Ovis aries: one gene and its partners. The protein of the gene in region 3 interacts with the protein of the main gene of each other region in a biochemical or structural test. Links are inferred from orthologs where the notes say so. Each region holds a gene or a part of one and is shown on either strand. Other genes may lie near its edges.

Region 1 (5,208 bases), on a different chromosome or scaffold from region 3:
TCCGGTAATTTGCTGTTTTCCAAAATGACTTCTGAAGAAAGGGACTAAAAGAAAGACTAGTAAGAGGAAAGGCAAACAAATGATACTATAAAATAAGTTGAATTAATACATCCAATGGATAAAATGAGCTGTTAAGAAAACAGTATTATTTAAATATTGGAAGCCTAATCTTGGATGACTAGAAAACACAAAACCCAGAGAAATGGGCTCAAATAAATAACAACCAATTATTCAAAATAATGTACACAGCTGAAGAGAGTATTTAGTTAAAATTTTAATGATGACACAGCACAGAGGCCTAATATTAATTATGAAGAGTTCTAAGAACTCAGAATACTTTCTTTCCCCACTGGCAACACCCTCTCCTCTGCCCTACCACTTCTAGCTCACTAGCGTTAGTCGCTCAGTCATGTCTCTCTGTAGCCCCATGGTCTATAGCCGACAAGGCTCCTCTGTCCATAGATTTCTCCAGGCAAGAATACTGGAGTGGGTTGCCATTCCCTTCTCTAGGGGATCTTTCCAACTCAGGGATCAAACTTGGGTCTCCTGCATTGCAGGCAGATTCTTTACCGTCTGAGCCATCAGGGAAGCCTCAGCTCACTGAAGACAAAGGTAAATAATCTACTACATAGGCTGGAAACAAATCTGCTTAGGGGCCATTGCAGGCCTGCCCCCACTCTCTCAAAGAAAGAAAACCCAGAGTGGGAGGATTCAAGCCAGTGCTTTTGTAGAACAGCAGAGGGCGCAGGACAAATGGAGAAGACTGCAGCAGCGAGCTCGGTCCTGGTCACACCACTCCGCAGAAGGAGTTAGGAAAGCATTAAGATATGCTGTAAAGACAGAACGACTCTGGGGTGACAGGGAAAAAACGGAATCTAGAACGTCTGTAAAAATCTGTGTAGGGTGTCCCCTGGCATGAGGTAGAAAATAAAATTCAACTTGTCAAAGGGCTGGAGCTGGTGTATGCAGCACAGGACAGTTACAGTTGTATTACAAAGGCCTCCGATGACTTACAACAGTTACTGACCAAGGCTTAATGAGTGAGTATCCCTAAAGCACCCAGAACTAAACTCAAGATGAACAATTCCTCTTTAATTTCAACTTCCTTCCACGTGGGGTGAAAATCTTACAAATCTTACTTTAATAAGTCATGTATGTATTCATATATATTTTATGGTACATGCACATATGACTGTGTGTGTACCACTTGAGAACAGAGAACTATGTACCCTAAAAATATGGCAAGAGAAGAATTAGGAAAAAAAAAAGGGTTTCTGGCACAATTCATCAAAATCAATGAATCTGTAAAATGAAGGGAAGTAAAGAAGACTGAGGTAATCCTATAAATCTAAATGGAAGTTGTTTCATACTTGTTTTCCAAAAAGGAGAATTACTCAATGACATTCAAACAATTTAGAAATCCACCCGCCACCATGCCTTTTATTTTGCCTTGCAAACACATTTTTGTAAGAGAATGAGTTTTTCCTCCATATACAGAATTTTACTTACAAGTTTTACATTGTCTTCTAGGGCCTGCTAAATTGTGTATGAAAGGAGTTTTACTTTTTTTGAGCAAAGTATTCTCAACAGGGTACTGCCCAAAACAGATCTTACTTAAAATGCACTCACATTGTACGCATCGATGATCAACTGAATCACATTGCTGGAATTTGCAGATAATGTTCCTACCGCTGACTTAGGGATCAAATTTTTCAGTTCCTGCAATTAAAAGATAAAACCTATAAAACTTGACTAATTAGCATCTACTGAGTACCTACTATCTATTTTTAAAAACCATTTCTTGATATATATCCTAAATAAGGAGTCAGACCTAAAAACAACTAGTTTTGCAATGTAATTAAAATTAATACCACGTTTGTAAAATCTAGCCTTTCTATATGATGACATTTTCCCACATTTCAATTCAGACATATCATTTTGCCTTTGATGACTAAACAATAAGGATCTAAAAATGTGTTCCTATTTTAATCCCACACGTATATATTTACCTTGTAAACAGGCTGAAATTCTTCAGTAACTGCAAAAATTGTCTGAATGTTATTTTCGCTTAGTTTCTGGACAAGGTGAGCAATAGAAGGATAATCCTAAGAAATTAAGTAATAAAATTTAGTATGTAATTATATCCAATATACTCCAGTTTTTCAATACTTTCTGAAAATAATGATTTGCAAATATATCTGGATTACTTATGCAAGATTGCCTGAAACACCACAAATTATTGCTGAACTGGGTGCTGTCTAATGGGTTTCTAATCCTTTTCTATCTTTATGTGTACACAAAAATTTCAATAAAAAAGATTTTTAAAAGATTATCTATGTATATTAGATGTCAGAACAATGAAATTGAAGAATTGACATAATAAAAGGTATATTATCACTAAGAAAAAGACCAAGATTCAGCAAGGTTTAGGTTTCTTCCAGACCTTAAACAAACTGCCAATGTTTGTTTTCCGTAGAGGCAGGATGCCTACTTTCTTAGATCGTATATAAATAAGACAAGGAGTGTAAGACTATACAAATGATTTGTTTAGACTCAGTATCAAACTTGCTATCCCTTGATGGACCAAGCAAGAGGAGACAGAGCTTTGGGCTGGGGTGCAGGGCCAGGAGTCAGCAGCTCCGTTAACCACCAGGCCCTCAGCTACTCGGAAGGAAGCAGGCACAAAGCCACAGCCTCAGAACAGCAACAAAGCTTTCCTGCACATTAGGTCAGGGCCCAACTTACCAAAATAACAGAACCCCAATCCTGAAAACCCACAAGCCCATTACCCATAATACTCTAAAAACCCGAATCCACTTAAATGTAAGGCACTAAGCACTTACATAATAATGGCTCATTGTGTACATATCATTTTCCAGGTGACACTGTCCATCATTCGGTAAAACAATGCCACCAAGTTTCCCATCTCCAGCAAAGTGAAACCCAGCATCCGTGGAAAACACCAGCAGCCGTGTCACATTCCTCCAACCAATCAGTGACTTGAAAAGAAAAGGATTTCAATTTTAAAATACTAGCTACAGAAATTCAGCAAAGATTAAATCTTTTCATCTTTATATAGGCTACCACTATACTTTCAACTTAATTCTGTATTTTCTCTTTTCACAATGCTAATAACATCCTTGCTGATAAAGGCACTGAGCCCACTGAATAAAACTCCCTCGCCTCACTATAACACTTCACCTTGCCTATCTGTCTGTCTCAGCTCTTTTTTTAAAAACTACCTTTTAAAGTCAATGTCCTTCTCCCCATTAAAAGGTAGCTCCACTCCAAGCAGGGCAGGGACCACATCTGGTTTTGTGCATCATCTTATCTCTACTAGGTGCTTAATGAATAACGAAAATGTCTCAGCCCACACTCAACTTTATCTAAACACTGTTATCTCCCCTTCCCATCCATACCTACTCCACCTTCTGGAGCATATACTCCCTTTATCAGCCACCATATTAAAAAAAAGCCTCCCCTTTTTAATTATAAAAAAAAGCATTTTCTTCAAAGACTTGACCCTGCTTAATTCCACCCCTTTTAATCCATCAGTACTGTTTGTTCATTTATTTTATTCTCCACCTTATTCAGCAAAAAATTTAAAGTGGTGGTAAAATCCTCTTGAATAGTAATTTTATAATCATCTGTCTTTATTTACTCCATACATCTGTATATATCTTCCTAAGACTATAAAATCCTTGAAGGCAAGAATTAAGTTTATGCATGCTGACAGACCAACTGGAATATGTCTCTTCTGCATTTAGAGAAGTAAGTGGAACAGTTACTCTCAGTCAGCACAGGGAGCAGAAAGCAGCAGCCAGGATACCATGGCCTGTTTTAATCTCAAGGCTGAGGTTCAGGCAGAGACAGTGCAGAGAATGCTTTCTCCATATGAGCTTCTAGCAGGATCACAAATGAACGGCTGGAGAGGAAACAGGCATCAAGGTAGGCACCACCTGGAAAACTACTCTTCTCCTTTAAAAGTGGAGACTATCCTTAAACTGCATCTACCCTGATGAGAAGTCAAGAGTGACCACAATACAGTTGTTAACTGTTTGTTGGCTACTTGCACTATCTATGGATTACCGTATTTAAACTTTCTAACGTGTATCTGTTATTATCTCTTAAGGAGAAGGAAACAGCCCTCTAGAATGGCAAGGAAATTGCCTAGTGGATGAGCAGTGATGGGAACATTTGAAGCTTTGTCCTAACAGGCTAAAGACCGTTATCTCAAGCACTGTATTATATTATCATCTTGGGTATCAAATAGCATACTAAAACTTGGTTGAAAAGTAACCATTAAGAAGCATCTGGAAGAGAAAGGTCTTTTAGGGCACAGGGGTACTATAAAGAAAAAGAGGAGGAAATGAGACAGATAAAACTTCATCTAGTTCACAATGTTTTCTACTTCCGTCCTCAGCTACATCATTAAAAGGTCACCTAAAATTTTTGGCTGGTAAATGGGTCAAAAAATTCTAACCACCAGTCCAATGGAGGATCAGCTTACTGTCACTGAAAATCTTGTAATTAAAATTACAAACATTATATGACTTCTCAGAATATCTATTCTCATACAGCTTTCAAACTAGGACTTAAAACTTTCTTTTTAAATTACTAAGACATGGGGACGATGCCTCTCAAAGATAAGCAGAAGAAAACTAACCAAAGGAAGATGGTGTCTGACACAATCTATTTGAGCACTTTTAATGTTCCTGGTGACGTCTCAGATAACCCCAATACCATCTCAGTCACAAAGCTGGAAAGCCAGGGTTCCCTGAGCCTCTTTAAAAAACCCAGAACACCAGCTAAAGCTACACTGCCCCACTGTTTCAAATGGTGTGCATTTTGGCTTTTAAAACCCGGATTAACTATGCGTTTTTTTAAACCACTTGCAGTTGGGAGGGAATTTAAGGGATTAATCAGTATGATATAGAAATTAAGGTAATATTTTCTGACAGAAAAATCACACTTAAAATCCACACAAATAATATCCCCTTGTAGAGAATAAATGCACTCACTCCACAAACTGCAACTTGCATGATTGCATCAAAGCCACCTTCTGGTGAATCCAAATTTCCAGATATGCGCTGCTTACCAACAAGTTCATTAAATACTTCCCCTTTATCAGTAAGGCTGAGCACATTTTTGTAGCTAAATGGGCTCGTGCAGTTCTGTTCATTTGTGCAAGGGTTCCTGAGTTTAGCT
Region 2 (5,208 bases), on a different chromosome or scaffold from region 3:
CCCAGTAAGCATGTGGGTCCCCTAAGGTTCAAAAAAATATCAGCTCTGGCCAGGGAGCAAATACAAGCAGAGGTTGTTTATCAGCAGCAACATGTTGCTCATACTGTACAAAGCTCTGCTTAGTTCCTATCTTGTATTTCACCCAGAAATCCCCACCGTTGAACCACTTCCTCCCCATTTTGGTCTGCACCAACCACACCTGGCACTCCACACCCTCCAAACTCACATCACAGACGGTAGCCTGCATGATGGCATCAAAACCACCCTCTGGGGCATCTCGGTTCCGTGACACACTCTGCTTCTTCACCTCCTCATTGAAACGGGTCACCTGGTCAGTTAGCGTCAGCACATGTTTGTAGCCAAACATGGGCAAACAGGTAGCCTTCATACTAGGGAGGGAAGGAGATGATTTAAACAGACATCTGACATAAAAGATGGCAGGGAGGGGGACTTCCCTGGCAGTCCAGTGCTTCCAATACAATGGAATGCAGGTTCGATCCCTGGTCAGAGAACTAAGGGATCCCACATGCCATGCAGTGTAGCCAGGGATAAGGGTGGAGAAAAGACTACTTGGGGAATGGGAGGGAAAAGTGGGAGAGAGATGTGGAAAGTGGTATACCCAGTCCAGTTCTATGAAGCTAGAATTATCCAGAGAGTTTAGACTCTCAACCCTTCAAATTACCTAGGCATCACGTTGAGCTAACCTCCACCTAGCTCAGAGGAGAAGAGGGTAAACTGTGGAACTAGACTCCCTTGATTCAAATCCCAGTTCCTTGACTTACTAGTCATGGAACCCTAGGCAAGCTTCTCTATTCCTAACCTATAAAACAAATGGGGACATGATAGCTAGTAAGGGTTGTTGTGAAGCCTTGTTGTTCAGTCGCTCAGTTGTGTCCAACTCTTTGCAACCCCATGGACTGCAGCACACCAGGCTTCCCTGCCCACCACCAACTCCCAGAGCTTGCTCAAACTCATATCCATTGAGTCAGTGATGCCATCCAACCATCAAATCCCCTGTTGTCCCCTTCTCCTCCTGCCTTCAATCTTTCCCAGCATCACGGTCTTTTCCTATGAGTCAGCTCTTTGTATCAGGTAGCCAAAGTATTGGAGCTTCAGCATCAGTCCTTCCAATGAATATTCAGGACTGATTTCCTTTAGGATTGACAGGTTTGATCTCCTTGCTGTCCAAAGGACTCTCAAGTCTTCTCCAACACCACAGTTTGAAAGCATCAATTCTTCAGCACTCAGCCTTCTTTATGGACCAACTCACATCCATACATGACTACTGGAAAAACCATAGCTTTGATTATACAGATTTTTTTGACTCTACGGACCTTTGTTGGCAAAGTAATGTCTTTGCTTTTTAATACACTGTCTAGGTTTGTCATAGCTTTTCTTCCAAGGAGCATGCATCTTTTAGCTGTAAGGTTTAAGTGAGTTAACATGGGGAAGGTTCTCAGATCAGAGTGAGGCTTTGGTTGCTATTGCTAATAGCTTATACTCAACACTTCTCTAAAGTAACATTAACATAATAAGCAAAAGTTCATCAATAACTTTATGTCTCTGAGCTATCAATAAATTAATAGATCTGTGTCAAACAGGACATAGTTGTTTTGGTTTTTTTTTTTTTCTGTCCCCACTCCATTGGTTTATTTCTTTAACTCACGGTTGACATCCTTACTGGGTAAACTTACAACCCACATAACTCTCAAATCTAAAAAGTAAAGCCGTACCCTGACAGACTTGATAACCATTATTTTAAATTATAATTCATGAATTTGCATAGTCTCTCCACCAATTAAATAAATAAACCATTCAGTTTTAAGCCAAAGTCTCAAAGTAGGGACACATCCATTTATGCTAGATGGTTCAATAAATATCATTTCCACCCTTTTATATTCCTCTAGGACTTAATTCCTTGCATTTTAACTCTGTAGGACCCATCTTCTAGATAAGGAGGACAATAACAATGGAATCAATCATTCTGAAATCATAACTCCTCTATTTACTTATCCATAAAGTTCTCTCTCTACGTTTGGTCTCATTTCTCTTTTATTCTCTCTTGTCTACTATTTATTTGTGACCTAGACCGGGAAGCTAATGAATTTCCTTTCTAGGTCTCCAAATAGCCTTGTTTATTATTAACAATTTTGGTTGATTATTAACTATTAACACAGTCAGTGGGTCAGCCCACTTGCCAGACAGGGAGACCTTGGTAAAGAGGAGAAACAATGTGGCCAGAAGGCAGCCAACAAAGCCAACCTGGAGGTAGAAATAAGAAGCAGGACTTGGGCACATGTGGGGCAATGGGAAGAGATGCTACCCTGGCTTCTACAGGGGAGACTTACTCATAGCAAGGGTTTCTGATAGCCTCTGGTGGAGAAATATACATGTATGGTGACACGGGCTTGTCCACAAAGGCCCCGAAGCCAATCCGCAGGTTACTGGTGAGCTTCCGCATCTGGGAGGCCAGCTTGGTACCCAGGTTCTGGATGTTCCGCAGGTCATCCTTCATGGAGTAAGACAAGTCCATTAAGTAGTAGATGTCCACAGGGTAATCTTCCACCTGCCGAACTTGGACGGAGAAAATCTTCGAATCATCTGTAAGGCAGAAGGACATTAAGTTTTCTCCTCTTCTTCCTCTAAGACTTAAGCAGATTTGGACATATTTGCTGGGCTGTGCTGTGCTCAGTTGCTCAGTTGTGTCCGACTCTTTGCCACCCTGTGGACTGTAAACTGCCAGGATCCTCTACCCATGGGATTCTCCAGGCAAGAATACTGGAGTGGGTTGCCATGTCCTCCTCCAGGGGATCTTCCCAACCCAGAAATCAAACCCAGGTCTCCCACAGGCAGATTCTTTACCATCTAAGCCACCAGGGAAGCCTATGAATACTGGAGTGGGTAGCCTATCCCTTCTCCAGGGGATCTTCCTGACCCAGGAATGGAACCAGAGTCTCCTGCATTGCAGGTGGATTCCTTACTAGCTGAGCTATCAGGGAAGCCTTTGGACATATTTAGGATGAAGCAAATTTTTGTTTTGTTTTGTGTTTTGCTGTGCCATGTGGCTTATGGGATCTTAGTTCCCTGACCAGGGACTGAACCCAGGCCACCACAGTAAAAGTGACAAGTCCTAACCACTGGACCACCAGGGAATTCCCTGAAGTAACTTCTTGAGCAAACCGAACTTGAAAGCCCTCGTTCCTCTTTCCCCTTGCAATTCTATTACTCTTTCAGTCTCTTAACTCTCCTATTTTTAACCTCTTCTTTTCCATTCTAAAAGTCTTCACTGTCTCTAAATCCCCATCTGTCTAATCCCTGGGTCCCAAGGGTTTACTACCCAGGATCACAGAAGTGTTGGCAGTTACTACATTCCGAACTCTGTAAAGGGAGGAACTGTGTTCCACTCTTCTCTGAATCGCAAGGTACCCAACACATGCCTTGCACATAAAATGCTCTTTCTTAAATTCTTGATTTAATTGGAAAGTCAGTATCAGTGCTTTGAAAAGCCTGTCTCTTAGCCTAATCCTTACCCCCTCTGAAGGTCTCCCGCCCCTATTTTCTCTGTCCCTATACATGGCCTTGCCTCAATCTCACATGGAAAAGGGTCTTATAAACTGCTTCCTCATCTTATATATCATTTGAGCCCCAAGAGAAAGCTATGTACTCGGTAAAGCAGACATTGAGGAAAACAAGAAACAGACATTTTTATGGCAATCCACTCCAGTACTCTTGCCTGGAAAATCCCATGGACGCAGAAGCCTGGTGGGCTACATGGGGTCACAAAGAGTGGGATGCGACCTAGCGACTAAGCATCACAATGTCAGCAGGGTTAAATAACTTTCCCAAGGTCAAATAGCTAATCTATGGAAGAGTGAAGATTCAAACTCCGATCTTCGGACTCCAGGTCCCCAAGCCTTCCATTTGCTTCCATTCTCCTGCTCATACCTCCCCCCACATCCTTCTCTTCCCACCACAATTTCCTCATGAGCCACATCCACCGGCTTCCTACCTGGCCGTAGGCGGAGGGCAATCCTCTGGGGACTGACTTGGGTAATCTGGGAGCTGTCTCCAGTGCCCTTGTCACTGAGGGGCCTGGCCTCCAGGATTCTGGCCTCACTGATCGGGAACTCGATGGACTCTGGGGCGCAGTTATCCTTCAGCAGGTTCTCCTTCAGGTTACAGCGGGGCGAGCCTGGAGGCAGCGCCTGTAAGACAGAGGTCCAGAGGCAAGTCCTGTGATCAGACCAATGGTGGCTCTCTGCTTCCTGCAGCCTCTGCCACCTCCCGACCGCCTAGAGCTTACCCAGCACTTTGGAGCTAAACCAACATCAGTGAACACGTGTGGTCCTTCCTAAGACAGTACCTAGGCCTGTTGTACAGAATGGGGAAATTGAGGCATCAGAAAGGTTAGGTGAGTGTCTGTTCTTGGATTGGCAGGTAAGAAGAGGGACAGTACAATAAGATGCCTATTGGGCAGTTTTTCAAACTGTAAAATGCAATCTACCTGTGGGTTGGAAAAATCAACATAGTAGGTTTCAACTACCTACTAATTAAGTAAAATACAACATAATAGAATGTCTTCCCAGGTGGCTCAGTGGTAAAGAATCTTCCTGCAATACAGGAGTTTGATCACTGGGTCAGGAAGATCTCCTGGAGAATGAAACAGTGACCCACTCCAGCATTCTTGCTGGGAAATCCCATGGATAGAGGAGCCTGGTGGGCTACAGTCCATTGTGTCCCAAAAGAGTCAGAAACAACTTAGCAACTAAACAACAACATAACAGAATAGAAAGTATCAAAGTATATAAGTAGTAAAAGTAAATATTATTTTGTGAAAGGTTTACATATTGGGAAGTGGGGTATAAATTGTATAATAAATATGGTATACATATACTGTGGAATATTACTCAGACATAAAAAGAAACAAAATTGGGTCATTTGTAGGGATATGGATGGACCTAGAGCCTGTCATACAGAGTGAAGTAAGAGAAAAACAAATATATATCAATGCATATATGTAGAATCTAGAAAGATGGTACAGATGAACCAATTTCCAGGGCAGGAATAGAGATGCAAAATAGAGAACAGACACGCTGACACAGTTGGGGGAGCAGAGGGTGGGACAAACTGGGAGAGCAGGATGGACATACACACTACCATGTGTCAAACAGATAGCAAGTAGGAGGCCATAAAGCACAGGAAGCTCAA
Region 3 (5,208 bases):
ACCACAGATGCAGCCCCAGTGTTTAAACAGTACCTTGCAAAAGAAAACTCAGAAAATAATGTAGAAATGGCTGCCCCCGACACCCCAGTTGTTTCAAATGCCCTCGCCAGTCCCCTTCTGCTTACACTCGTCATCTGTGTGCAACTTCTGCTTCAGTTTCTCCATCTTCTTTTCGTCTCGCAGCAGTGTCTTGTCCTTTCGTAAGGTCCCTGTCACCTCCTCCTTCTTCTCTTCCATAATCTCTCGAACCAGTGAATATTCATCATGGTTGGTGATGCCTGGGGGAGGGGGTGGGTTGGTAGCATCCCCAGCAGAGTTTTTAGGCCTCCTTCTGAGCCCCCAGCCCCGCACGCCCCTTACCAATGCGGGCACAGATGGTCATGAGCATGTCGGTGACAGTCTTCGAGTCGTCCACCATGACAGTCTTCACGGTGCCGTCCAGCATGCGGATCTTCAAGGGCCTCTGTTTCTTCCTGTACTCCATGGTGTCCTATTGGGTCAGGAACAGGAGAGGCCCACTTTAAGCTAAAGATATTACTTTCTTTTTAGGCAGCCAGAGAGGGAAGGAAAGTAGATTACTAAAAGGAAGACTGCGTGAAAACAGTCTTATGACTGCCTATTATTAGAAAGCATGGGAGAGCTCAAAGACAACAGATATGGGTGCTGAATAGGAGGCAGAAGGAGGGAAGTGATGGCAGAGGATATTGGTGGTCCTTGTGAAGTGATACTCACCCCATTTCGGAGCATGTAGTAATCCAAAGCCTTCCCGGCCTCCAGCCATATACCCTTTTTGGGGTCATCATCTGACAGAAACAGCCCAAAGTCGCTGGCTAAAAGAGAAGATGGGTCAGCTTAGGCTTAAAGAAAAACCCCAATGTAGCTGAATGGCTACTCCACTACCCCTTATTACCTTCCCAGTGATCCTGGGCCTAAAGAGGAGGGCGGGGCCCAAGGAACACAGACCTGAGAGATGAGAGGCCAACAGAGTCATCTCCCAAGGCCAAGAGCCTGGGAACAAGAAGGGACCAGGGCTCCCGCCCCAGCCACCTGGGCAGTCAGACTCACGAGGGCCAGACAGGGCCTCTGGGATCCGTTCACGGATGATCCGACAGGCGTCATACACCATGGTAGACGGCTCGAATTGCATCGTCTTCACCACATTCCCAATGCTGATCTTCAGCGAAAGCGCAACCATGGTGGCGGCTTCTTCTCTCCAGCCTGGCTATACCTGGCCCATGGCATCAGGGCATTAGAATACACCCTCACTGGAGGAGAGGAGGCCCCCCACATGGAGAACCGGGAAAGGGAGTCACCAAAGCAGAAAACAGTGTGAGTGTGTTCTTGTTTTATTTAATGATATTAAAGAGTGAAAGATAAGCTGTATCAAAAGGACTAGTCTTAGGTGTCTGAGACCTCTGAAGGAGAGGCTGGTCTGCAAGGCACAAAGGCAGGTCTGAAACAGTGTTACCTGAGGACACCACCCCACCCCCAGCACTGGAATCTAGGCCTCCCTTCTTTCTTCCAAGTGTTTCTCTCTTACCCTTGTCCCTGCTCACCTCCTTTCCCAGTCCTGTCTCTGCCCTATTTTCACCCTTCCTGGTTCAGTCTTTTTCTCTTTGTCTCTTACTATATCCTTCTGACTTCTCCCTGTCTGGGATTTCCAGAGCGCTGCCCTGACTCATCACGTGATCTTTCCTCTCACAGCTTTATTCTTCTTCTTTGCAGAATGAAGACGTTATATTAGATAATCCCCAAGGGCTCTTGAGCCCTGCAAACACTGACTTGAGCTAGTCTGGCAGGGAGGCCCAACACTGCTGTTCAAGCCATCCTGGCTTACGTGTCTCAGCTCTCCAGTAACTTGACATGCTGGGGGCCTCCCAGAGCAGCTCGGTCCACATTTGGCTCCCCCAGCAGTCAAGCCAGAATCATGGTTTTTCTAATCCAAGGGGATCTCAAAAGTGATCTAGCCAACTCTTTAATTTTGCAGAAGGGGAATCAGACTGGATATGTGTGTGTTTCAAGGCAGCTCAGAGAGAGAGCCCAGTCCCTCTTAACTCCTCAGGCCTTGCTCCTTCTAAGATAGCAGGTTAATACCCAGTTCTCACCATAACTCCTCCTATGCTCTGTCCTCTTCAGTAAGTCCTTCTCAAACACTGCCCTCCAGCTCAGCTGCCTCTCCTGACAGTGTCTTAGTCCCACCCAGCCTTCCGCCGCCCTCCAGGCTCCACCCTCCATGGAGGTGGCAGGTGGCGCACAGAGCACCAGACAACAAGTCTGCCTGGCAGCTGATGATGTGACCAGCTCCGTCCAGGGATTGGTGCCTCCTACCTAAGAGAGGTGCGCACACCCAGGCAGCCCATTCCCCTCTCTGCAAACTGCTAGCCCCAAGGGGGAGAAAGCACAGCTAGAGGGAAGCTTGGAAGCGGAGGTTGGGGTCTTAGAAGCAGAAGGTGGGAAACAGAGGCAGCAGCTGAGAACCAGGGAAGCTGGGGAGGGGTGTGTTTTTGGAGGGTGAAGAGATGAGGAGAGGTTGAAAATCTAGGTAGAAACAGGAGACAGGAGGCAGATGTGGCAAAGGTCTGGATCAGGAGTCTGACAGACAATTTCTGACCTTATAAATAATCTCGAGTCTCCAAAAAGAAGAAACCATAGCTCGCCCTCAATCCTTACTCCCAACAAGAGGGGACCCTCCCACTCTCCCCAGTTCTAGGTCTCTGCCCCCCTCCCCATCCCTGGCACACCTCTCCCGAGAGCTGGACAGACCTGGCTGTAGGGTCACTGGAAGGCTGGAAGGTCTGTCAAGCCAAGGACACACTGAAAAGACCTTCCACCCTCAGCTGAAACTGCACATCTCCCCCAATTTCCTCCGGATATATGGACACCCCCCTTCCTCCTTAAGCACGGAAACCTCTGTTGAGCCCCCGATAAGGGAGTTGACTCATGGCTACCATCACTTTCAAGCTGGTCCTGAGTGGACACCCACACAGCTACAAGTGGGTGAAGGAGCAAAAGGAATCAAATGAGTTGGGGGCAATGAGAGCACAGAAGCGGGCCCCTGGAAGTAAGGGGAGAAGCTATCCAGTTCCTGTTCCGGCTGGAGAACTGTGCTCCCCTTTCTACTTTCTGTCATGTTTTATGGAACAGCAACAATTCCCCCCCACCATGTCCCCCTCCCAGAGAGCTCCTCCTCCCTCAAGACATTCCTGAGATGCATTCCAGAGGAGTTGGGCAATTGGGGGGGGTGGAGGTGGGGGGAGGATAGAGGACAGAGGTCAAATCCCAGCAAGGAATGGAATGTAAGTGTACTGGGGGTAAGGAATTTGGGGGACATAGAGAATATAGTCAGAGCAGATACCTACAGAGGGAGCTGCCGAGAGACAGGGAGTTACAGAGAGGGACAGAGGGAGAGAGAAAGCTGAAGACAGACTCAGAATGTAAGAGGGTTGGGGGGAGTAACACTCAAGTCTGTTACCAAATTTGGCCTCTGAGTCTGTAACCGCGGGGAGGAGGGGAGGGCTGTGGGTGAGACTGACATATCCGGCCTCAGGCTGCGGCAGGCTCATTTAGGGCTGGACTGGGCAGCTGAAGGGCTGGACCTGACCTCCCCCAGCATAACCCTTGCCTACCTCCATCCTGATCCATGAATATTCATTCTCCCTAAATGTACCCCAGCCTATGCATTGAGCTCTTTCCTACAAAGTTACTTATAGTCTCTACATACATACACATTATCTCAAGCACACAGCCCCTACACAGCTCCATCACAACAACGTTATCTTCCCATAAAGACTCCACCTCTGTCGTCAAGCACACAACACTCAGTCCCAATGTCTCTCTTGTGGGCTTTCTCCTTCCAGTCTTCCAGTGAGCAGTTCTGAGGGTCTGTTGTGGGGAAGGCCCTGGTTCTCAGTGGCTGGGAACCAAGAAGGGTAAGCACTCACGTCTGCCCTCAGCAGAGTGGATAGCTACATACAGAGTTATAATAGAAGGCAGAATGAGGTAAGAACCAAACAGTATGCGCTCATAGGAGAGATCCCTTTCAGGTCAGGCAAAGGGGACTAAAATGTCTCCATGAAAAGTGTCATTTGAAGTTAAGATTTAAACAAAAAAGATAATAAGAAAAAACAATGATCTATCTTTTATTGACAATATGTCAATTGCTTTGTGTACACAATTTCATTTAATCCTTACAACAACCCTGCAAGGTAGGTGTCGTTATTTCCATTTTTACAGATTAGGAAACTCAGGCTCAAAGGTGCTTGTCCAAAGTCACACAGCTAATAAGTTGTGAAGCCAGGATCCAAACCCAGGTCTTTCTGACTCCAAAGCCCAAGCTCTCTCCACTATTCCAGCCAGCTGGAGATGAGTCAGGGGTGGCATTCCAGGCAGAGAGAATAGCATAAGCAAAGGTGGAAAAGCAGGAAATCACGGAGGAGCATTCAGGGAAGTGAGGAGCAGGCTGGTTGAAGCACAGGGTACCTGCAAGTAAGCAGTGATGGGGAAGTCAAGGTTAGGATGGAAAGGCAGGGGTGGACTCAGGAGGAAGATGCGGGATTTCACCTACAAGAGGGCAACAGGAGGCCAAGGGAGGCGATGATCAGAAAAGGGGCACAACCAGAACTAGACTTCAGGAAACTCACTCCAGTAGCTACCAGGGAGGTTAGTTATAAAGACCCTGCACTGGCACAAGTCGGAGGCAATGAAGCCAGAATTAGAATGGAGGAGAGGATGCCACTCATCAGAAATTTGAAGAGGTAGAACCAACAGGATCTGATGGCAGGCTTAACTCAGGAACCAGGGCCCAAAGAGAGGCTGGAAGCCCACAGCTTCCAGTCATCAGCAGGTACTTCAAAGTACCTGAATTTAGGTAAGGTACTGGGGAGAGGGGAAAGAAAGGACAGGGGGAGGTAAGAATGCAAACATGAGGCTGCCTTAGGGGATGCAGTTAGCAGTCAGGTAGGGGCAGAAAGGATGGGCTTAGTGACTACTACCAGACTGGAAATGGGGGAAGAGAAAAATGCAAGGACAAGCTAAGGAAGATAACAGTAGGAAAAATAGGGATATAATAAGTTACTGAATCAGCCTGGGGGAAGAGGAAGAACAATTACGTGAATCCAGGCTAAGACAGGGAATGAGGTCAGAGGCCAGGTCAGGCGGTAGGAGGTTGAGAAGAGATGTGTGGTCAGTGGCTAAATTAGGTTAAATGAG

The links.
Region 1: the proteins of TLN1 (region 3) and ITGB1 form a complex in vitro, tested with the Homo sapiens proteins (3 studies listed by BioGRID and IntAct, with this or other methods). The link is inferred for Ovis aries from reciprocal best matches to the Homo sapiens genes TLN1 and ITGB1.
Region 2: the proteins of TLN1 (region 3) and ITGB3 form a complex in vitro, tested with the Homo sapiens proteins (6 studies listed by BioGRID and IntAct, with this or other methods). The link is inferred for Ovis aries from reciprocal best matches to the Homo sapiens genes TLN1 and ITGB3.

Annotation. Positions count from the first base shown.
Region 1 is NC_056066.1:19,322,144-19,327,351, reverse strand, and holds part of ITGB1 (integrin beta-1), read right to left. Parts: coding exon 5,022-5,208; intron 3,000-5,021; coding exon 2,844-2,999; intron 2,106-2,843; coding exon 2,010-2,105; intron 1,720-2,009; coding exon 1,630-1,719; intron 45-1,629; coding exon 1-44.
Region 2 is NC_056064.1:46,082,794-46,088,001, reverse strand, and holds part of ITGB3 (integrin beta-3), read right to left. Parts: intron 4,206-5,208; coding exon 4,010-4,205; intron 2,602-4,009; coding exon 2,349-2,601; intron 390-2,348; coding exon 227-389; intron 1-226. UniProt on the Homo sapiens protein: Integrin alpha-V/beta-3 (ITGAV:ITGB3) is a receptor for cytotactin, fibronectin, laminin, matrix metalloproteinase-2, osteopontin, osteomodulin, prothrombin, thrombospondin, vitronectin and von Willebrand factor.
Region 3 is NC_056055.1:52,813,631-52,818,838, reverse strand, and holds part of TLN1 (talin-1), read right to left. Parts: intron 1,229-5,208; 5' UTR 1,196-1,228; coding exon 1,066-1,195; intron 831-1,065; coding exon 733-830; intron 491-732; coding exon 361-490; intron 279-360; coding exon 126-278; intron 1-125. UniProt on the Homo sapiens protein: High molecular weight cytoskeletal protein concentrated at regions of cell-matrix and cell-cell contacts. Involved in connections of major cytoskeletal structures to the plasma membrane.